Linked DNA regions of Caenorhabditis elegans. The protein of the gene in region 1 interacts with the protein of each later gene in a pairwise test. Each region holds a gene or a part of one and is shown in the gene's direction. Other genes may lie near its edges.

Region 1 (9,866 bases):
TAATGTAAGAGAATAGACTTTTAGAGTTCTTAGAGTGAATTAATTTATTTTCAAAAGCCATATTTTTCTTTTTGAGGAATTTTAATCTTGATTTAACTCTCTTTTTCAAAACTGAGGATTCAGTGTCTGGGTGATGCTTACGAAGTTTTCTGTATAATTTCCTACCTGTAACTTTTGGACTTTGAACTCTTAATGTTGGATATTGGGGAGTGAAATCAGAGATAAGCTCATTAAAAATGTTGAGAAAATGATTAAGCTTAGAATCAGGTGGAGCAAAGAATGATAGCTGTTTAGGCCAATTGTATGACACCATGTATCCATTGAGGTTGAAAAAATCACATTTTCTGAAATTCATAAAAGACTTGGGAGGGGCAGAATGAGCAGGAGTGGGCTGGGGGAGAGATAAGGAGAAGAAAATGGAAATATGATCTGAGTTTATAAATGGAGTACCCGGTTTTAAATTTTGTAAAACACCGGAATTATTTGTAAATATGAGATCAAGAAACGTGCCACTGTTTAATTTGGAAAACCGAGTCGGAAAATTTACCATTTGTGCCAGATCATGAAATTTCATCCAATTATAGAAATACTCAGAGCCCGTGGGAAGAAAATTTGAATTCCACTTGGTGTTTGCAAAATTGAAATCACCGAGGAGGACATAAGTATAGGAGGGGCAGTCGAGAAGCTGGTTTAGATTTTTAAAGAGCTCAGCGGTTCTACTTGCGGTAGTGGATGGGGGCGGTATATCAGTATAAATCTAGTTTTGGATTGCTTATGGTCTAATGCCAGAATTTGACAAAAATGCGAGAGATAAAAGGAAGGTGCAATTGAGACAGGCGTAAGAGCCCATTTTTTATGAAAAAACACAGCAGTACCTCCGCCGCATTTTTTGGATGGCACTCAAGCCGATCAGATCTTATGCAGGTATAGTGAGGTGAAGAGCATGAGAAATCAGTAAAAGCATTACTTAGAAATGTTTCGGTAACAAACAAGATGTCTAAACTATTAGAGGCTACGAACTTATGGACAAATTCAAGTTTTTCAAGCGATGCAATGGAACGAGCATTAGCCTACATGCAATTAACCAGCTTGGGCTTTGAAACACAGACGAGAGCCGCCTTTGAGTTATGTTTAAGTTTTGTATTTAATTGTGATGTTTGTTGTGTTGGGATGTCATTTGAAAGAGGCGTTAAATCATTCAGTGTCAGGCGGCCGTCTCCCTATGCGGCGAGAGGGATTGAAATTGGGTTCATCGGAAAAGGACGAGGATAGATCAGGTCCACAATTTCAAGATCCCGGATAACGTGCGCAATGCAGCCCGCAGCCTGGTTCGCTTCGTAGGCCTCCTTACGGAGTTCACGAAGCGCGACAAGCTCGAGGGGAGTCAAGTCCCTACGCGCACGGATCGGTCGAGGAGATTGCGGAATAGAGGAAAAGTTGCGCCAATTTTTATAGAAACCGGTAAGAAATTCATCGCGAAGGGATTCAGAATTGAAACGAACTTTAGTTGGCCGGGAAATGATTTTGGAATTTTTGGTAGCAACTCTAAAAACTTCAGTGGGAACAGGGAGAGAGAATTCAAGGGAGAAAGATTTAACCAGATTAAAATCGGAACTAACTTGATCCGGGTTTTTCGCATCGGGCAGGTTTTCCAGAACAGCTAGATTCGATTTCTTCTCAAAGGAATGAGCAGTAGATACCAGATTAATCGATTCGACAACTTTCTTCAGCACAGGGTTCTTCTTCATCACCGAGGAATATAGATCACGATTCGCTGGCTTCTGATTGTAGACATTGCTGTTTGAAAGAATTGACGGTTCAGTAGAGGGGCATTTCAGATATTCCATCACCACCAACACCTTCATCCACTTCTTCGCCTGGAACGACGGGATTTTCTACAAAAATCGGATTTTTTCTCTATGTCAGTTTAATTGATGTATAATTCCGAAAAGTCAGTCTTTCCTAGGTTTTTAAATTGAAACATTTCAGATATTCCATCACCACCAATACCTTCATCCACTTCTTCGCCTGGAACGACGGGATTTTCTACAAAAATCGGATTTTTTCTCTATGTCAGTTTAATTGATGTATAATTCCGAAAAGTCAGTCTTTCCTAGGTTTTTAAATTGAAACATTTCAGATATTCCATCACCACCAACACCTTCATCCACTTCTTCGCCTGGAACGACGGGATTTTCTACAAAAATCGGATTTTTTCTCTATGTCAGTTTAATTGATGTATAATTCCGAAAATTCAGTCTTTCCTAGGTTTTTAAATTGAAACATTTCAGATCGTCCACCACGTCCACCATCTTCATCAGCTTCTTCGTCTCCAGCTCCTGGATCTGCCAAAACCCCTATTTTTTTTTCTTGGTCAGTCAGATTTATGTAAAAATCCGAAAAGTCAGCCTTCCCTAGGTTTTTAAATTAAAACATTTCAGATATTTCATCACCACCAACATCTTCATCAACTTCTTCATCTCGAACTCCTGGATTTCCTACAAAAATCGGATTTTTTTCTCTTGGTCAGTCAGATTTATGTAAAAGTCCGAAAATTCAGTCTCCCCTAGGTTTTTAAATTGGAAAATTTTCAGATAGTCCACCTCCACCGCCTTCTTCATCCACTTCTTCGTCTCGAACTCCTGGATTTTGCAGAAAAGGGCGACCCACCTCCACTGCACAAAATGCGTCCGCTCTCTTAATAACTTTGTTAATATTTATTTTTTTTAAGTTTAATTATAATAAAGTGAATAATATTAATAATAAATTTTCCAATTTATAAACGTATTATATTGTCTTCTCAATGCACTGATGATGTGTAGAGTTCTGCTGATTTTCGATTCCTGAAAAAAAACAGGCTACGAATGTTTCCAAGTCGACTTGAATATTGTCTTTTTTCCCAGCTTTTTCCGAGGAGTGGCCCTCATGATATTTTGTAGTCTTATCTGTGATTTTTGGAATGTGAAAAAAATTTATTTTTTTTCAAGAATTTAATTTTAATTTTTTTTTTCAGCATTTTTGGTTAAAAATTTTCTTCCAAAATTTACAAATTCAGTGCGAAACGATCAATTTTCCATACAAAAATATTGGAGGCATGAAAAAACTAAATTTGAATGCGCGCGAAAAAAGTGTTCAATGGAGCGCGTTTACTCGTCGAGCACTTCGGGAAGAGGGGGTACGTTTTCGTAAGGGGATTTTTTCGTAAGGAACGCTTTCAGTAGGGCAATGTGCGGCGCGCCTTTTCGCAAGCCCGCCGCACAGTCCTTCGCAATGCGCCGCACGGCTTTTTGCAATGCGCCGCACGCTTCTTCGTATTTATTTATTTATTTTTCCAACAGGAAATTTCGAACGGAATTCAATTAAAAACGGATTTTTAATGGAAATTAATTAGTTTTATTCGAGCTAAATACGGATATTTTCAGAATTTTCGATGACAAAAACGGGTTTCAATCGATTTCGAATCGATTGCGAAGGACTGTGCGGCGGGCTTGCGAAAAGGCGCGCCGCACATTGCCCTACTGAAAGCGTTCCTTACGAAAAAATCCCCTTACGAAAGCGTACCCCCTCTTCGGGAACGATAATTTGAAGTCTGTTTTTTCGAGACACAAATAATTGTTTTGATTATTCGGCATTATTTATTTGCGAAAATTTATTCTTCTCTATATTACTGTCATAATTTTCAGTTTTAATTTCATTTCAGGTACTTCGACCCACCAAAGCAAAATGTACGATGCATACACGCCTTGCGAAGTAGCTCTCCGATTACCCGTAGAAGTAACATGTCTTGCATTTCAAGGTTTTCAATATCAAATCACTGGAATTTACAATCATGATTGCTTTCAGAATCGAATCAAACCTTGTTAGCCGGTGGAAGAGCAGGACATCTCTATGCATACACAATTTCAGCTAGTAATATTTAATCGTCAAGAAATCTATTTCTAAATATTGATAAATTACAGATCGTCGTGGATTCGAGCTCACAAATATCTGCAAAAGCTTTCACAAGAAAGCAGTAATGGAACTGAAAGTTTGCCAACGTGAAGATCTCCTTTTGTGCGTGTCCGACGGTCAATTGATGGCTCACAAGCTCAGCGATCCAGAGTATAAAGTTGAAACATTAATTCACAAAGTGAAGCCTGTTCAGACTTTTGCAAGATTTTCACCCAAGGTTCATTGGAAACTTTCCGAATTTTCTATTCAATATTTTTGTTTTCAGACATCTGGAGACCTGTACGTAATTGTTTCGTCACGAAAGAAGTTATATTTATTCAAATGGGGAGAGAAAGATGGCCACAAAGAATTTATAGAAGTTGCATTGGATTATAATCCAGTTTTCTTGGATACTCCAACATCTATAAGGTACAAAAGTTTATGAAACAAATTAAAGATAGAATAAATTACAGATGCGTTGGTGAAATGGTATTCTTTTCTGTTCGAAACGAGTATTTTTCTATGACAATGCAAAAAGATAAGACAACCACTTCGCCAAGTGAAGGTTCAACTCCGGAAGGATGGAATGGTTTTGTAACTCGTCTTTTAAATTTCAACTGTCAGCCTGGCATTGTGCCAATGATCGATCGAAGAAGAGTTGCATTTGTGAGGAATGAAATAGTTGTAACCACTGATATTTGGGGACAACGTCCGGCAAATGTATTAAGTGACGAGTACAAGTTCAGCGAAGTTCCCATGCAAATCGGTAACTTTATTGTGGAATTAAATTATTTAATTAGTTACCTATAAATTTCCAGTATACGATTCACCTTACTTGGTTGGAATGCTCTCAAAAGGCCGCGTCGAAGTTCGTTCAATTTTCGATGGTCAACTTGTACAGACAATGTCCCTCCCGAAGGCTATGACACTCTGCAGTGGTGCTCGTGGACAAGTGTTCGTCGCTGCTCTTTCCGATATTTGGATTCTTGATACTTCACAAAATCTTCGAAAAAACGTGTCTCATTTGATACAGGAACGTCATTTCGAGCTAGCAATTCAATTGGCTGAAAATTCGAATTTATTTGCAGAAGAACAGAAATTAGAAATTAAAAAGAAGGCTGCATTGAATTTATTCAATCAGAAGAAGTTTGACGAGTCATTCGCATTATTTGGAGAAATTAAAACCGGTTAGTGCTTCATTTCACATAAGAAAATTAAAATTTTTTTTGAGATATTTCAGAAGTGCTCTCAATTATTCGAATGTTTCCCGAGCTTCTTCCAGATGGATTTCAATCAATGACCGGAGTTGTCAGTGATATGCCTGCTAACGACAGAATGCGTGCTCTTTTGGCTCTCGGTAGTTATCTATCTGAAATTCGAACTGAACACGCGAAGCATATTGAATTATACAATCGTTTGTACTCATCGGGAGCGGCAAAGAAAACTGATGAAGATGAGAAGGCAAAGCTCTTGTTGACATTGAGAGTTGTAGATACAACACTTCTAAAGTGTTATATTAAGGTTTTTCGAATAATTATGGAAAATTAAAACAAATTAAAATTTCAGACGAAACCAATGCTTGTGGATTCTCTAATTCGTCTTCAAAGCAACGCGTGCACATTTGAGGATGCAAAGAAGATCCTCGAATCTGAAGGACGTCTCCGATCTTTATTCATTCTTTACGAAACCCGCAAAAAGCATGAAATGGCTCTCGATTTGTTTATCGATCAATCTAGCCGCCCGGATGCTGATCCATTTTTCGATGATGCTATTCAACAAATTGTCGAATATCTTCAAAGTCTTGGAAATAGCAATTTGCCACTAATTCTAAAGTACGCAAAATGGGTACTAGCCAAAAATTTGGAAGCCGGAGTTCAAATATTCACTAGTGACGAAACAGAAATGGCTAGAAATTTAAATCGAAAAGCCGTCGTGGAATTTTTGAAATCCGAATGCCCGGATGCACTGATTCCGTACTTGGAGCACGTGATTTTCAAATGGGAAGAACCTTCTTCATATTTTCACGAGACACTTTTGGAATTCTATGTGGCACGAGTCAACACTTTGTTTAAGGATTATGTACACGCTTTCCCAGACGGTATGTTGATTCATAGCACAACAAAAAAAAAATACAACCTCTAAAAGCATTTTCAGATGAGAATATCACTCGCGCGGGAGACGAGGATGGCGAGCTGGGCCTCTACCGAAAACGACTTTTGAAATTTCTCGAAGTTTCCCATTCATACAGTCCACAAACAGTGCTTCTTCAACTAGCACCACATGCATTTTACGAGGAAAGAGCTCTGATTCTTGGACGACTGAAACAACACGAGCAGGCGCTTGCTATATATGTGAATACACTGAAGAATGTGCCTGCAGCAGAGGAGTACTGTAGACTCTACTACAATGCACACGATGAGACCAATTCACAGGTGTATCTGATGCTCTTCCGAACTCTGGTACATCCAAATCAGCAACAACTGCACTCGATTCCTTATCACGCCGATTCGACTCCATTCGGATCATATCGTGATGATGTTTCTGAAGCATCAACGTTAGTCAACTCTACATCATCGTATCAACCAGATGTCAATACAGCAATCAAGATTCTGGCAAAACATGCAGATAAAATCGATACAGTTGGAGCATTGAATATGCTTCCAGCCACCACTCCGCTCAGAGTCGTGTTCTCGGCAATTAACGCGGTGATTCAAACTACCGGACGACAAGCGAGCACTGTAAGTTTCAGAGATGCGTTCATTATTTTCTTTTCTATTATAATTGTCCAAGGTTTTGACATGCCTTCTTGAAAGCGCACGAATGTATTCAGATGGGTCTTGGCGCGCAATAAAGTTTATGGTAGTCTTTTTTGCAGCTGCGTTATCTTTTATTTTCCCTGAGCTTTTTCATAATTTTTTCTTAATATTTTTTTAAGGCCTACAAACAGAAAAAATGCGCATTTTAAATTGGAAAACATATTTTTCACTTTAAAAATTGATTTTAATAATTTTTTATCAGAAAATGAAACGTAAACATATAATTTATCTTTTTAAAAAAGGAAATCGGCGAGAGAGCAGCCGAAAAAAAAAGACTACATTAAACTTTTTTGCGCGTAGAGACCCATTTGAAAAAGACTATGCGCCTTTAAGCAGGCATGTCAAATTTTGTGAAATTACAATAAGCAATATCTTGGACTCTGATCGAATTTCCGGTTGAATTTAGGATGTTTACAGAATTAAACACACTTTCAATGATCAAACTGTTGCGTATACTCTACGTAGATAAAATTGTTTACAAAACCTCCAATCTTTAAGCTTTATATCTAGAAAATTTTCAGCGAAAAATGGAAAAATCTGTGTCCCAATGTGCAATGTCAAAGAAGCTGGAGCGCAAAAACAAGGCGCAATCTACTAAAATCATCGTCAATTTCTCAAGTGAATGTGTTGTTTGTGAGAAGAAAATCGCTGTAAGCGCATTTGTCCGGTATCCGGATGGTCGATTGGCACATCTCTACTGCCATAATGATTCTCAAGGAGGAAACAGAAATTGAAAGGAAGTACGGTACCTAGTACCTGAAATGTACTAATTTTTGTATCTATAAGACGTATTTTTGTATAGATTTTTTACTGATTTTATGTGCCTTTATCCTTGTAACAACTTGTCACATCACATGTCTTCTAGTCCCCTTTTACTTTTTTCTCATTCCAGCGCACTCACTTTTATTGTACGTGTAACATTCTCTTGTATACAAATCTGTCCATTTATTCCATTTTACAAAATTCAAAATAATTCAATGAAAAGGCAAAACGACGAATTATATATTATAAAACGGAGCAGCAGGAGATCCGGATTTCTTCCCAGGAGCACAGTCCGGTGCAACAGTCTGTCAATGCTCCTGAAAATTTCATTTTGAATAGGAACTTTTAAAAAATTATTTTCTCAACAACTTACCAATCTCAGTGATTTTATTTACTTGTGCACACTGCTCTGGATTGATGATTCTGCACATTTTTTCCATTTTTTTGACACAAATTTGGAATGGAAAAGCTGCACTTGTTCTGGGAGCCAATGTTACGAGGAGCAAGAATGAGATTAGAAGAATTGTTTTTTGAATAGTGGAGAAATGCAGTGACATTGTTAGAAGTGCTGGAAATTGTGATAAAGTCCAAATGAACGGGCAAATAAAATGTATTAAATCCAAGGACAAACCGAGGGTGGAGCTCTGATTTTGGAAGCATTCTGGAAAAGTGGAAATGGGCGGCGCCGAGTTTTAATGGAATCACGAGATTCAGAGGGTGGAGAAACTTGAGAAGAAGTTGTCTGGAGGATAAGGAAATGGGGATATACTTTTAAAGAAGAATTCCCGACATCTAGACTAACAGACATACAGATCAGGAATTTTTTTTTGAAATTTATGTTTAAAAATTGGAAATTTTTTCTGAAACTTGAGTTTCATAATTTAGTAATAAGGTTATCAAATTTTATTTTTGATAAGAGTCTTCATATTACGAAACAAGGTCCTGACACGAACAAAGTTTTTTCAAACTACCGTACCCAGGATGCAAAAGCAGCAGGGTTACGGTAGGTGAGAAGTTTTGTTCGTGCGAGGACCCAAGACGACAATTTGCTGCAAAGATTTTTCAAAGAATTCAGCGGAATTTTTGGAAAATTGCCAAATTTTCAAAAATTGTGACTTTCGAAAATTAAAACAAAATTAAACAATAAAAATCGTAAAGACAACATTTCGGCTTTCCAAATTGACACAACATTTTTTTCTATTTCAGAAAATCATAATCTTATGCCAAAGTTCATAGAAAGTTCCTTTCCACGTTTTTGGTAATTGGATCTCTCTCTGACCAATTTGATGGAACAAAGTTTCCCAGTCTGAAATATGATCAGTTCCTTATTTTCCACGTTTGGAAGTTTGATTTTTTGTTCGGAATTTGTCGGATTTGTCACGGAATCAAAAACTTAAAACATGAAAAAATGAACGAAATTTGACACCGACATAAACAGATGATAGTCACACACCCCCTACTACATTTTTTTTCTCCAATTTTGGTTCATGATCCGAAAGAAAAGGGCATATTATTAGTAATTGGATATTTGATGACGATGCTCTTTACGACATAAATCGACGACAAAAACATTCCAAGATCAGAAATCGGAGAAACTTCTGGACGAACGAGAAGACGTAGAAGTTGTTAAAACAGAAAAACATATACATTTACAAGTTTTGTACATGAAAATAGATGACGTCATAATACTTTTGAGAGTTTTGAATTATGGTAGGACAAATATTGTAGATGTTGTCAGAAAAAGTATAAATACCCTAGCTTCTGGTAATGAGAAGCTGACCTAAAATTTTAGTAAACTCGAAGAAAGAAAATGTATTACTCAAAGTTTTTCAAACGATTCAAATTTGTTTTGATTGATATTTATTGTATGCACACTGTGTGCGTCAATGAAAAATTCTGTAAAACATTTTCACTACAAATGTAACTGATCACTAGTCGTATTTCGATCAAATTGAATCGAATTTAATGTTAGGGAATTTCAACTAGCAAATGCTCCAAAATGCATGCCATCCAGTGTATTGAAGTGATCCATCAGATACAAATTTCATTGACATGTAGCTTCTTGGAGAAATGTAGTTGAATGGAGCTACCGATTGTCCGGATAATCTGAATGAGTGGAATATTGATTGGTATATTTAAACTATTTTTAACGAGAAAATTGTGAAGTTTGGTTTTGCTCCGTGCTATTGTATTCATAGTCTAATATTTTCAAAATTTAAAAATGGTGAAGGGTCGATAAACTCGAGAGGGAGCAATAAAAAGTGATTAAACTATTTTCAAACATTGATAGCAATTCTTTTAGTCAACAATTTTGGAAAAGTTCAATTAGTTCAGAAATGTAAGTCACGTCGTTGTTGT
Region 2 (6,893 bases), on another chromosome or scaffold:
TTTCGAAAAATTTTGAAGAGGAAAAGTGCTTTAATTGGTGGCCGAGGTTTGTTTCTTTCTAGGCTACGTTGCAAAAACTGTTACCTTACTACGTGGCCGTGGAATGAAAATACTCGGACACCAGGTGATTTTTTTTTTTGAAATTTCAAAATTTCAAAATCTATAAAACTATTTCTGTAATGGTGCGTCCATAGTCTGCGGAAAACGGGAATTTCCCGCGTGCGGAAGCGTCCATAGTCTGCGGAAAAACCGTAGTTTCCTCGCTTTTTTTTCCTCAAAATTCAAAAAAGTAGGCGTGGTCTTTTTTCGCTTTCCCATTGCTCAGCTTAAAATTTTACAACCTCTAATTTGTTGGACACGCCCACTATTTTGAAATTGACCAATAACAAAGCGAGAAACTCCTTCTTTTTTCCGCAGACTATGGACGCTTCCGCACGCGGGAAATTCCCGTTTTCCGCAGACTATGGACACACCATAAGAAATTCAAAAAACTTAAAATCTGAAACTTCTACATTATACAATTATAATATTCAGGTGAAATACTGTCACCAGGCTATCCAACCACATATCCGAAGAATTCCACGTGTAATTGGTTGATCCGTGTAGAAGCCCGACAACGAATCTACATTCGAATAGTTCATTTACACTTGGCCCCCACTATTGCAGAATGTGAACGAGCATCACTAACAATAATCGATGGATATAAACATGAAAAATATGGAATTGATCGAAAGGAATCCACGTCAGAGACGTCTGAAGCAAAATTCTGTGGAAGTCAGCTGTATTATGCAGAAGAGGGAATGAAAAGCTATTTATCAAGTGCAAATCGAATTGTTGTACGATTTATTACACAGGAAGGACCACCGTCTTCAATGATTGGGGAAGAGAGGATTGGATTTAAAGTTGTATGGACTGCAGTGGAGGGTCTGATTGGAGAAGGTGATGAGAGTGTTAATGGAAATTCTTGTAAGGATCAATTTATGTGCCATGGGGGACAAGTTTGTGTTGAACAGGTTTGTGAAAAATCAGAATGTTTTCAATGAATCTATATGTAGTTCCTTGTTATTTTTTAGAAATTAACTTGAATCATAAATTCAAAAAAAAAGAGTTGTTTAATTACAAAACTTTTTATTTAATCCAAAATTTTGGGTTAGTGTAGTCACTAAAGTACGCAAACGGAACTACAGTACCCAAAAACATCCCATTTCACGACATTTGCTAGTTTCGAGCTGGAAAATTGATTTTTGAACGGGAGAAAACATAAATTCGACAGTCTGAATATTCGAAAAAAAAGGAGAAATTCTAAAGTTGAACAGAACCTATTTAGAATAAATTTTGTTTTGTAAGAAAAATTAATTAGCCTTTTCGTGATTTGTATTTTTGATATTTAACAAATTGAATTGCCACAATGCTGAAATCCATGTATTTTCAATTACTTTTTTCTACTTCAGGGTCATGGAATTTGCGCTTCACGGTCCCGTCTCTGCATTCACAGCTCTCTCGTTTGTGACGGAATCCATAATTGTGTTGAAGGAGATTTCTCCGACGAGCAACACTGTAAGCTCATTTTCCAGTAAAATCCAAGATCTAAAAATTTCCAGGTTACTCCCGAGAGATAATAACATCGGCGGCACTCGGATTCTCGTTGATTGTGCTCACGATGCTCGTCTTGGTGTGCTGTGATCAGTTCAGGAAGCGGCGACGGCTTCGGGTGATGATTCGGGAACGAAGAGCCGCGTCGGAGAATGGGAAATGTAAAAATATGAATAATAATTCGATTACAACACGGATACAGCCGAACCGGTGACTATTAGAGAGCGAATTGTGAATGTTTTCGCGATTCGCTCGACAAATTTATCGAATTTTTCACAATTTTATAATTTAAAATTGCTTTTCAGTTAATGTAACGGAGCTTTTTTCTTTTATTTTTAATTTGAAACTTTAATAAACATTATTCAAACATATAAATTATTTACTTTCGACAATTTTCAAGTGTTTTGCCTGGCAGAATAGAAAGAATTATGGAAATATTAATTCTTTATCAGCGGGAAAGTAAAAGAAAAATAACGGCAACTCCGTGCGGCGATATTGCGAAAACCGCGCGCGCGCATTGCAAAGGGGCGGAGACTCGTCTTTTTGTCATCTTTTGTCATCACTAAAACTAACTAAAACAAAATTTTCTATATCTTTCGCAGGTTTTCGCTTTTTTAACGAGTTTTCTCATTCTTTCTATGGAAATACTGATGAATGTGTAGAGTTGGTCGATATTGGGACCTGTGAAATTTATACTTTCAGCTCAGATGTTATTCTTCGCTGTTTCTTCTTAATTTCTCTTTTTAATCACTTGAAACTCAATTATATCTTTATTTCAGCTCACTTCAAGCGGGAATGTCATCACGAGGAGTTCGAGCGGCGGGTACCGATGGGACGGACTTCCAAAATCGGCAGAGGGTCGCACAGCACTACCAGGAGAGCGCTCAATACAAGTCGATCCTCAAGTGGTTCTTCGTTCCACACTTCTTGATCCTGGTCTTCATGTGGCTCAAGGTTGGCAGCGAACTCCTCCGAACAAATTTCGGATGGAAAAACGCGTTCTTCGATCGACTGGACATGCCGTCAGCCTACCCATGGGAGTATGTGTGGTGCTTCTCATTCATTCCGATCGTCCTCGCCATCTATTCGTTCCAACGAAACAAAGTAATTTATTTATTGATCAATTTGCCACAAATATAACTTCTTATTTCAGCTCAAGATCCTCCACTACGCCTACTATGCCGAGTTCGTCGTCGGAATCTTCCCATGCATGATCGGGCTTGGAGGACAACTTCCAGAGCTGATGGAGTATGCTCAAGACATGGAGGGAAGCAACACACCGACATTCAAAGGAATCTTCCCGATGGTCATCATATGGTACATCTTCTTCGCGGTCGCACTCCAGATTCACGGATTCTCCATGTACTTCATGCATCACCTTGCCGCCGCATGGGCTCCAGTCAAGCGAGATTAAATTTTCTCCGTTTTGTGATATTATTTTTCAATTTTCCCCCATTTGTTGAGTTGTGTACCTTTTCCTTGTTAATAGTATTTTTATTCAAATTCCTGCTAGTCTCTATTGCCAAATTAATAATTCCATATCTTTTATTTATTTTCTTACTTTTTCTAATTACCGGTTACTGTTCTACAGTTCCGTTGATACTTTTCTGTTTCAATATTGATTGCATTTGTTTCATTTTGTTAAATCAATTTTCAGAATCGAACTCCAAAGATGTGGGGCGAGACATTCGACGATTTCGAGAATGACGAAGGAGAGATGGCAATGGCCAAGCAGAACCTGATCGCCGAGCCGGCTCGAGCTGATTTCACTTTCGCGAAGCTTCCGTTGGGAATCCAGCCCGTCGATTTCATGAAGACTCACTTCGCCGAGACCGCCGGAAAATCCATGCAATTCCGCAAAGGAACCACCACATTGGCGTTCGTCTACGAGCCAGCAACTCCAGCTGACAAGGGAGGAATCATTGTGGCTGTCGATTCACGAGCCTCCAGTGGTGAATACATCTCATCCAAGTCGGTCATGAAGATCTTGGACATCGGAGATCGTATGGTTGCCACGATGGCTGGAGGAGCTGCTGACTGTCAGTTCTGGACCCGAATTGTCGCCAAGTACTGCACGTGAGTTTCAATATTTTCAGCTTCAAAACAAAAATAATTATTTATTTTCAGTTTGTACGAGCTCCGCGAGAAGACCTCAATCACCGTGAGCGCCGCGAGCAAGTACTTTGCAAATACGCTCTATGGATACAGAGGACAAGGATTGTCAGTTGGATCGATGGTGGCCGGATACGATAAGAAGGGACCACAAATCTTCAAAGTCGACTCGGAAGGAGATCGTTGCCAGCTTAAAGTGTGCTCAGTTGGCTCAGGATCTCTGAATGCCTACGGTATCCTCGATAATCACTACAAGCCAAAGATGACGGACGACGAGGCCAGAAAGCTCGGCCTGCGTGCGATCATGCACGCCACTTATCGGGATTCTGGATCCGGAGGCGTCTGCAATTGTACGTGAAGCTTTTTGCTCGGCTATTCCACAAAATGGACCATTTTTCACTAAAAATGGCTTTTATTTTGTCTAAAATTTAAATTTTAGACGATTTTTATTCGAAAAAATTCTTCGGATAAATGAAAAAATTGGTTCATTTTGTGAAATCTCCGGCCACCTTTAATCTAATCGCTTCTATTTTTCATCCTCCAAATTTCAGTGTGCCACATCACGCCAACCGAAAAGATTCGTCTTCCACCAATGGACGTGAGCAAGCTGTGGTACGAGTTTGCCGATGAGCTCGGCAGAGATATCACCTACAACCCAGTCGAGTGATTCAATTTCCCTACGCTGAAATTAATTTTATTCTTCTTACATGTATTTGATGTCTGATCCGATCCCGATTTTTTTTACATACACACCCGTCTTTAAAATGTCATTTATTTCTATTTTTCGTTTCCAATTAATTTATTCTTCTTTTGCTAAATACTCTCTGTACATTAAGTTCTAAAGTTTTCAAGTTCGAAATCCCGAATTTAGGCTTAGAATTTAGAATTTCCCTCGACAACAGGGGTGGCTGGAAGAAACTCTCAATCACATGGCACAAATTGGATTTTTGGAACATTAATATCAAGTAGTTCTAGAGGGATACTGAGATGGAGTTACACTCAAAAGTTTATTGCAATTTTCGAATGTGAAAATCAAGTTAAAGCGATATGTGTCGGCTGGGTGTTGATGACGTGGTGATTATAACAGCTGGAGTCCCATTAGTGTTCCGCCACGCAGGGCCTATTCGTGTTCCAGCTGGAAATAGTTTAATTGTGCTATTATTTGAATTGTTTTTTTCCATTAAAATTGAGAAAAAGTGCGATTTTAAGAGTAATGGGTATCAGTAGGATCTAAATATTTTAGCTACCGTACCCAGGAATATTTTGCAACTTTCTCTAATTTTTTCGACAGCTTTGGATTGTACAGTTTTGGCTGAGAAAGTCAATGGGTAGTTCGAAATTTGCCAAAACTAAGTTTTCCGTAGATCAAACACAAAGGTTGCGCGCCAAATATGATGTTTTGAGTCCTCAATCGGAAAGTACGCAAAGACACACAAAATGCATCAGATTTGACGCGCAAACTTCATTTTTCTTGTTTGTGAAAAAAATATAATATTTTTTTAAAAACTTACAGGACATAGAAGGTGCCACAGATGCCCGTTCTATAAGCTCAATTTGCTGCTCTCTCCGCCTGGGAAGCATCGGACGGCGGCTCTCGGAGCCCACACTATCGCCAGCTTTATTATATATAATGGCACTGGAACGATCGAATTGTGGCTCCTTTTGCATATTATTTATAAAATGGTAACAAGCGGTAAGCATGACGCCCATGAAAATTCCAATGCAGAAGAGTAATCCGACAAGAATCCACGGGAAATCAGATGGCTTGAAGGAATAGGAACTTGGCTGGAAAAATCGAAAATTGGTAAGTGGTCAGCATGCGCGCTCTAATGTTAAAAGAAATATAAATTGTTGGTGTTGGGTCCTGCCGTTATCTAAATTGATATAAACATTTAAGCTACCATAGTCACGAATATTTTTTTTTTTTTTCATTTTGTTAGAATATTTTCGTCGTACAAACCGATAATCGGCAAAATTTTTAAAAAAGTTAAAAACTCTGTAACCGCGCTCCAATGATAAATAATAGAATTGTCGGGTCCCACCACAATCGAATCTTTTCATCTACCTTGAAATTTGCATAATAACAGAAATTGGAAAATTATTTGAAATTCAAAAAATATCTCATTTTTCAGCGGGAATTGGAATTTTACGGAAGCTGGCTTTTTCAGAGTCGATGCACCATGTGCAAAATTTTGACAGGGGATATCTCTTGGTTCATTTTGAAGGTACCAACAAATTTTTAAACTGCAAAATTATCTTTAAAAATTTGGCGTCAAATGTGGTGTATTGTGTCCACAAAGGAAAAATAACCGAAAACACTAGATTTGACGCGCAAATTCTCACCGTAGACGTTTGCTCTTTCTTCTGCGTAGGCGGTGGTGGAAGTGAAGCAGAAATGACACGTGAGCCACCTGGTTCGACGGCTTTCCAGTAGAATTCTTTGTTATTTATTTTTTCCTGTAAAAATAATAGTTTTCGATTTAAAAAATATGAAAGAGACAAACTTTAAGCCTAGGATCGGCGTCTTTTCCCATACTCTGAATAATTTCGGCCGCCAATTTCGGTGTCATTTCTTTTCCGCCACGTATCTCGTAGTAGTTCGTACCGTACTCATTGTTTCGTACCGCCTGAAAGTTTGAAATTAAAAAAAAAAAACGAAACCCAAAAAGTTGCACGTGGTGTCAGGCTGTCCCACTACGGTTTGATCTACAAAAAATGCGGAAATTTTTTTACAAAAAATGTGACGTCAGCCCGCTCAATGTGAAATTAGTTGAAAAGTCTGCGTCTATATTTCTGCGATTCTCGTAGATCTACATTGATCAAACCGATATGGGACATTCTGACACCACGTGTAGTTGTAGTAGAACTCACACTGTAAGTAGTATTTTCTGGATCTTCAGCTTCTGGTTTTTGGGAGAGTCGGACACTGAACACGTGCACAGAACAGTCTGCAAACTTTATTTGTTGAAAAAATCGCTTCGAGACCTAGAAAAAGTGCGGTATAGCGTAATTGCATACTTCGTTGAAAATTGCATGTCAAACATTGTGTATTGTAACCAAAAATCGCAAATTTGAAATCCCGTAAATATTTCGCTTCTTTCCAATAAAATTACTTGAAACTCAAATTTTTGCGGCGAATTGTAATGTGAACATCATGTTTGACGCGCAAATTTAAGAAAAAACGAACC
Region 3 (6,901 bases), on another chromosome or scaffold:
CTATTTTTTGGAAGCATAGAACTGTCTTTTTATGCTCTTTTGAGGTTTGAAAAATAGTTGAAAAGGAACAGATGGATGAAAGAAGAAGAACAAATAAACGATCAGGTGGGGGTTCGTGGATATTTCGAGGAAATCTTGAGAAAGAAACGAAAGCTCTTTTCAGCTGAGATCGAAAATGAACCGCCTGTTCGGGGTCATGTGTAGATGTGAGGTCTGGAAAGAAACAAAGTACAGATTGAGGCTACTTTGTCTTAAAAGATAGAACTTCAGACTCCTAGGTATCTTGCCCCTTTCGCCTCCCCACCTCTACCCTGCTTTTGTCTACGGATATACATTGATTTTTCTGGAATTTTCTTTGAGCTATAAATTGAAAAGTCAAAAGCAAACCCTCAAATATCGGTCAGAAATTGCAAATCAAACTATAGATACAAATGCAACACCAAGCTCAAAATACAGAGAAAAAACTTGAGGGAGTATTTCGTTTCAATTGAATCATGACAGTAGTCACAGGATAAACGAGAAAGCCAAGTGAGAAGAGCACGCAGAGAAAAATAGAAAAACGACAGTTTGCACACACACACATAGAAACTGAAAAAAGAAGGGTGGATGATATGGTCAACAAATACCAACTAGACTCTTTCGTTCCTCGTCTGGCTGGGGGTTTTTTGGGAGAGAGTTCCCCCAATTCAATGAGTGAAGAATGTTGAAAAATGGTTTGAGTGCGAGAGGGAGTGAACGAAACTACAAATAAACAATACAGCTCTGAACTATATTTAGAGTGACCGTTAAATTTTTTTTAAATATTAATGAAGACTACAATATTGCTAATTTTGGTTTAAATGTCGATTTGGTCCTGAATCCGTGTCGAGGGTCATCTTATGATGACTTTAAATTTTGTCCGACTGTTGCAAAGGTTTTCTGAAAACTGTTGAAGTTTGAATAATGTGAGAAACCTTCCAAACGATGCTGTGAAATCTAGAAAAGGAGAATTCTGTTTTTCCTGATGCTGGTTATTTCCCTTTTATACAAAGTCTAAAGTTATCGACCCTTCTAGTCTGTTTCTTCATTGTACATAGTGCTCAAAATTTTGAGATTCACAGAATGAACACGACAAGAAGAAATCTAATCATCAGATGTAGTTAGTCAAAATTTATTTTTTTATTCAAAGTTTACTGTAAAAAGTGGCATTTGCTCCTATCGTAATTCACCTATCGTAATCTACAAATTTCATATTTGAAATATCTTTTGACTAGAAAAGCTCAAATTATTTTAAAGTTTGGCAATTTGCCAAAACTTTGACTGAAAGTTTTCAAACATGTATATTTGGTTATGTGTTTGAGTACAGTAATCCTGGATACTGTATTTCCTGGACCTTCACACTGCGACCCCTCTATTCATTTTGCAGATGACACTTTTTTCCAAATAACAATCAAATGATAACAAAACAAAAACAAAGAGAAAAAAAAAGTAGAATCTTATTCACATCTTCCATTGCTTCTTCCTTTCTTTTCTATCTCTGGCGCCGCTCATCCACCCTCGCAAACTTTGGAACACTATCTGTTTCTCTCAATTTCATTAACTATTTCGTACTTTTGTCGAGATTTCCGGCGCCTGAAGAGCCAATGAATGAAAGGGAGCCTCTAGTGAAAACAACAGATGAGGGCGGAAAAGATAGGAAGAATGGTTTGTGATCAGTTGAAGATTTTGAGAGAGAAACGAACAAGTTTGAAGCAATAAGTGATCAGATGAGTCAATCAATGGAAAGTTAAATATCAAAAACTATGATGAAACTCTTTTTTTTTAACAAAAAAGAAATTTAAAAACTCTTTAGAAGAAGTTTTTACATAAAAAAACAAAGGCGAAGACAGCAAGAATAAGGAAAAACTTCATTTGAAAATAAACATATTCAGAAAACAAACTCTCTAATTTTAATATTCTACCAAAGGTTTTTGTTGATTATTTTTCAATAATACACTTTCACTTACTAGTTGGAATTATTGTTTTTTGGCTCTATTAAAAACATTTTGTTGAAAATCCACCAAATCTTTGTAACCCTAGCAATCGTAAACAAAAAATGTCTGAAAAGTTGTATTGCAGCCATACTACGAGAAGAATGACGGAAACAATCCACAAACCAGATAGGTTATTCCATTTGAATTTCCATATAATTTTCTTATTCCGAGCAGTAGAACCTATTCATTTCACAATTTTTAAAAAGTAAATTGAAATTTCAGTACATCAATGTTTTACTGAAAGTATACAAGGAGAGGTTCTCTTTATTTTTGTATATCCTCTGAAAACGAAAATCAATGCTACAAAAATATGCCATCCTGTTCAATAATTTTAATAAATACAATTCGAGAAAAACACGATAATTCAATTTATTATTGGTCGTTTTGCGATTTTTTTTTGACATTTCACAAATACTACGGTAGTTCTACATATTTCCGACATAAATATAAAATATAGTCAGTGGGGGCTTTGCCTAACAAGCCAAGTATTTCAGCTGACAATTAGATTTTTGAATGAAAACTATGCCATTTGATAGTGTTTTCACTGTCGGCGATTTTTTTACAAATTTGAAAGTGTTTATACTGAAATCTTTTGCAGACAAGTTCATGAAATTTGTCATGTAACACGAATCTTTTGCACATAATTCGCAGGTTTCCAGATCACTTGTGGTATTTCATTTATGATATGCGATGACGCCATAAATACCCTTGTACTTCATTCATTCTCCGCAATTCACAAATCGGATACAATCCCTCTCACACAAGCGGGTCATTTTCTTATTTCTCTCGATCCTCCACTTAATCTCAATACAATCGGAACATCTCTTCTCTGGATATCTAGGGCAACACGGACAATTGGGAAAAGGAAAGGAACGAGAATGCGTTTCGGGCAACAGACACACCATTCGTCTTTCACTTTGATCCATATATTTCCTTATCGATTTTTTTGAAGTGGTATTCAATTTTTTTTAATGTTTTTCTACTGATTAGTGAATTTTTAAGTTCAACACACTTGCGAAAGCCAGCTCAATAAGTCGAAAATATTAATGAGATTTTCATCCAAGTTTTGATAAGTGCTTTCTATTTCACAAGAAAACCAAATTATAATGTTTTTTATTGATTTCTATATAACATGTGATCTTTTGTAATTACAAACCAGTAACTTCAAGCTCAAATTTGTAAAAATCTTGTATTGCCTGCCATATTAATATGTAGAAAAAATACGGTAACTTCTCCGCTTTTCATTAGGTACATTTAAGGTCAATTTAAACATTTTATAATCATCTCACAATCAGTTTGGAACACTTAAACCCAATGGGAATTTTTCTGAGTTAAACATTTCCACTCAAAGATTAGAATAAATGTTTCAAGCCCTTATTCTGACGAAGCGTTCCACATATTTCTTTTTTTTGAAATTTGATTTCTATAACATTTACAGTAAATCATGCCAAACGACCGGGTGGCTCCATTGCCTCCAAACTTTGTATACTCTCCACATGACAAATTCTACTATGCCCCTGCCACGTGTAATTCAATGCATTATACAACTGCCTCGTACATTTCTGCATTTATTGAATTCCTTGTTATGGGAACTGGAGCTATTTGTTTTTACGGTTAGTTGATTGGAAGTTCAGAAATAGTTGTATTTCACAAAACTTAGAAATTAAAGTTTTAAGAAAACAATTTTCAGTAATGAGCCACAAATCGGATTCAATTGGAAAATGGTTGTTTTATATTCAAGCTGGTATTACGGTACTTTCTCTTTTAACAAGTGCTCTAATGGCATTTGGACTTTGGAAAGAAAATCCACAGATGCTAGGATCAAAATTGAAATTTATTGAAGTAAGTCTTCCCTTCATTCCGAAAAGTTTCCGGCTACTTTAATTATTCTATAAACTTTTAATTCCTTATTAAATTTCAGTTTATAATCTGTTTCCTCCTGATCTGGGCGGTCATTTCTATTGTTTGCATGGCCTTTGGAATTCAATTCACAAGACAAGTCTTTGGAATATTTGGAAAAGTTCATCGAATTGAACAAGATTACGGACCAATTTGGCCATTCAACATTGCTGTTGTTTCTTTCTTCACTGCTGCAATTGCTATTTGGTGAGAATTAAAATGCCTGGATTTTAATAGATTAACTTTAATTAATTTATAATTCTATGTTATGAACCTAAAACATGAACTTCCATGGTTTCTATAGTTTTCTAAGAATGCGAACTTTTCTCTAATAGATTTTGAAACTCCCAATAAAACAAATGTTGAAAATGAGTTTCAAGTTTCAAAACTTTCTTTCAGAAGATAACATTTAAAAACCATTGATTTAAATCTGTCTGTATAAACTGTTTACTTTACAGGACAAGAATCATCATTCAAGGAGCTGCTGATTATCTCTACGATAAAGCTTACTTCGCAGACAAGCAGAACGTCGAACTCAGAGAGTCATCCAAAACCAGATAGATTTCTGATTGTACATTGTTTTTAATCGAATTTCTTAAATTATTTTCATTATAATTTCTCTACCATCAAAGTTTTACTGATAAACGGTTCGAAATTTACTTTAAATTTTATTTGTCCGTTCGTATGTTCAATGTGTTTTGTTACGTTTCTGTGCTCATTTGAGCATTAAAAACATTCAATTGTTATTATTGCCCAACAAAAATCCTGTAATTCACGAGTTAAAAATTTAAAAACTACCAATTCTCAACATTTTGAACGCGACACAAAACTTTATTAGAAATTGAGTAACCACGAAAGAATACTTCTCTTTCTTCTCTTATATCCCATGGCTGGATCTTTAACACTGAGAGAATAATTATCGAAAATACTTTTGAAAAGCCAATAAGATCCACCATCTGGATAGTACATTTTCTCCTTCGTATTTGCCAATTCATCAATTGTAGCAGTGTCACATGTGACCGTCCCGTTGAGATATAGCTGAAAAATAATTTTTAATTTTAAGATATGTATATGCTATAGCTCAGCATCAGTGCTTCAGAAGGCCGGCTTTACCTGTTTCCGAACATTTGCGGTCCTGTTTTAAAATTTTTCAAAACAGGAAGACCTGTCTAACTCCCTACGTTACGTCTACCTAGGTGCCTTGCTTGATTCTCAGCTCGTTTCTGCTTACGTTCTTTCGTCATGCCTACCTACCTCCTATATGCTAGCGTAGCGTATACCTATGTACCTCCTGCCTGCATCATGCCTATCCCAGGCATGTTTACTACCTACATACGTGTCGTTTAGTGGCTGTCGTCACAGAGTTTAATCCCGTATTCACCTTGAAAATAAGTGGCATCCCTCCATTCTTCACAAAATCAGTTGGTCTAAATCTCTCGAAAGCGTAACACTTGTTAGTTTTAAAGAAACTGTATGCACATTTCACATCAGTTTCACAAGTTTTACTACATTCTGGTACTGATGCTGCAGTTGTAACTCCCATTGCATAATCTTCAAAACCATCTTCTTCTTCTTTCATATTCTCAAATACTGCCATACAAGGTGCTTTTGAATCACGAGTTGTTGAACTCTCCACTGTAGTTGTTGATGGTGGTTCAGTGGTCGGACGTTTGGCTCGACATGGCTTTGCGCCCTTCAAAAACAAATTTATTGGAAATATTTATAGCGGTAATAGAATTTAAAAAATGACAAAAATTCAAGTTTTGAAATGCATATTAATTTTGTTGAATACTACTGTAAAACCAAACCAATCAGTTTTAAATGCCTACCTCGCCAATGTTTATCGCCGCTGCTAGTAGAGCCAAGAAAGTAAAGATTTGAAACCTCATCTCGTTCAGGTTCAGAATAATGTTTCATTTTATGTTCTAAAATAGTCTCACAAGTTATGATACTCATAAAACATGAGAACTTCAATAAGTCAGTCGTCATAGTTTTCAAATAGGGAAGTGAAAATAGGAACGAACAAAGAATACAGTAATGTCAAGAGTTTTGAGACAGTTTAAAAGAACTTCATTGCTTAATTGTTACTGCAATAACCGAACTTTTAAGAAGCAATATAGATCACTCACTATTTAAGATCTAGAAAATAAGTTCCAAGTTTAAATTTCTAGTCAAGACGCAAATTTTTGCTGTCTTGGAATTTGGCGTGGAGAAAGCTACAACGTTTTAGTCAATATTTTGGTTTTCAGCTAATTATCGCTCATTTTATTTCTATTTCTTGAGTTGAATTTTTTGCATTCTCAAATAGCGCATCCTCAAAACCCAAATTCCTCAACGTTGTATGGTCTCTGTGCAAACGCGCTCTAGAGGCAATGCGCGAAACAGCGGCGATTTTAAATGAAATTTTGAAGATTTTTTGTTTTTGTTTTAACTTTTAAAAATTGATTGTCAGTCGTTGTTGCCAGTTTATACATATTATTTTAGCAATGGCAGAAGAACCGTACGTTTTCACTCTTAAAAAACGAAACAATGATGACGCAGAAGATGATTGGGATCGATATTCGGAAAATGTCCGCCCAACAAGAAGGGGAAGAAAGATTGACGCACTGAAAAGAGTAAGTATGGTATTTTCCTAGAAAAAAATTTTATCTAAATTTCAGAATGTTGAAGAAGTTGTTACCGAAGAAACTGCACGCTTAAAGCTTGATCAACTTCTCGAAGAACTTCAAAACCTGGAATGTTCAGAAGAAAGCGAAGAACTTCAGAAAATTCTAGATTTCTGTTCGTGGTTTGAAGAGAAACTTGCAATTGGTTTTCACAAAGTATATTACGAACTTCTCTGGAAAATAATCAGCAGGCTAGTTTACAAAACTGAAAAAAACAATAAAATATATTTTAGACATGGATTCCTGGAGAAATACAAAGAGGACGAGAGAATGCTTAAAATTTGGGAGAAAATGGCAGATAATAGCGCTGGTCATGCACATGAT

Evidence for each region. Proteins that work in one complex are often made in the same cells at the same time.
Region 2: the proteins of vps-39 (region 1) and pbs-5 interact in a two-hybrid assay, tested with the Caenorhabditis elegans proteins (2 studies listed by BioGRID).
Region 3: the proteins of vps-39 (region 1) and cuti-1 interact in a two-hybrid assay, tested with the Caenorhabditis elegans proteins (one study listed by BioGRID).

Annotation. Positions count from the first base shown.
Region 1 is NC_003283.11:14,032,207-14,042,072, reverse strand, and holds vps-39 (Vacuolar protein sorting-associated protein 39 homolog), read left to right. Parts: upstream 1-3,700; 5' UTR 3,701-3,723; coding exon 3,724-3,796; intron 3,797-3,843; coding exon 3,844-3,909; intron 3,910-3,959; coding exon 3,960-4,168; intron 4,169-4,216; coding exon 4,217-4,359; intron 4,360-4,403; coding exon 4,404-4,696; intron 4,697-4,748; coding exon 4,749-5,117; intron 5,118-5,161; coding exon 5,162-5,451; intron 5,452-5,496; coding exon 5,497-6,028; intron 6,029-6,075; coding exon 6,076-6,668; intron 6,669-7,267; coding exon 7,268-7,480; 3' UTR 7,481-7,750; downstream 7,751-9,866. Other genes in the region: ins-10 (INSulin related), read right to left, coding at 7,752-7,825, 7,882-8,065. UniProt on the Caenorhabditis elegans protein: Plays a role in vesicle-mediated protein trafficking to lysosomal compartments including the endocytic membrane transport and autophagic pathways.
Region 2 is NC_003279.8:14,716,835-14,723,727, reverse strand, and holds pbs-5 (Proteasome subunit pbs-5), read left to right. Parts: upstream 1-3,250; 5' UTR 3,251-3,265; coding exon 3,266-3,669; intron 3,670-3,720; coding exon 3,721-4,055; intron 4,056-4,256; coding exon 4,257-4,372; 3' UTR 4,373-4,561; downstream 4,562-6,893. Other genes in the region: sol-2 (CUB domain-containing protein), read left to right, coding at 535-1,013, 1,452-1,557, 1,602-1,807; K05C4.2 (Protein jagunal homolog), read left to right, coding at 2,389-2,697, 2,747-3,007; Y54E5A.8 (Conserved plasma membrane protein), read right to left, coding at 4,743-4,840, 5,217-5,490, 6,049-6,162, 6,210-6,332, 6,577-6,653, 6,893-6,893. UniProt on the Caenorhabditis elegans protein: Component of the 20S core proteasome complex involved in the proteolytic degradation of most intracellular proteins. This complex plays numerous essential roles within the cell by associating with different regulatory particles.
Region 3 is NC_003279.8:6,401,137-6,408,037, forward strand, and holds cuti-1 (Protein cuti-1), read left to right. Parts: upstream 1-3,450; 5' UTR 3,451-3,456; coding exon 3,457-3,625; intron 3,626-3,702; coding exon 3,703-3,854; intron 3,855-3,933; coding exon 3,934-4,118; intron 4,119-4,369; coding exon 4,370-4,472; 3' UTR 4,473-4,569; downstream 4,570-6,901. Other genes in the region: ZC328.5 (Apple domain-containing protein), read right to left, coding at 4,746-4,949, 5,293-5,604, 5,741-5,800; san-1 (BUB1 N-terminal domain-containing protein), read left to right, coding at 6,398-6,526, 6,572-6,768, 6,811-6,901. UniProt on the Caenorhabditis elegans protein: Involved in cuticle formation and ensures cuticle shedding during larval development. Plays a role in maintaining the hypodermis. In association with vps-39, may play a role in vesicle tethering.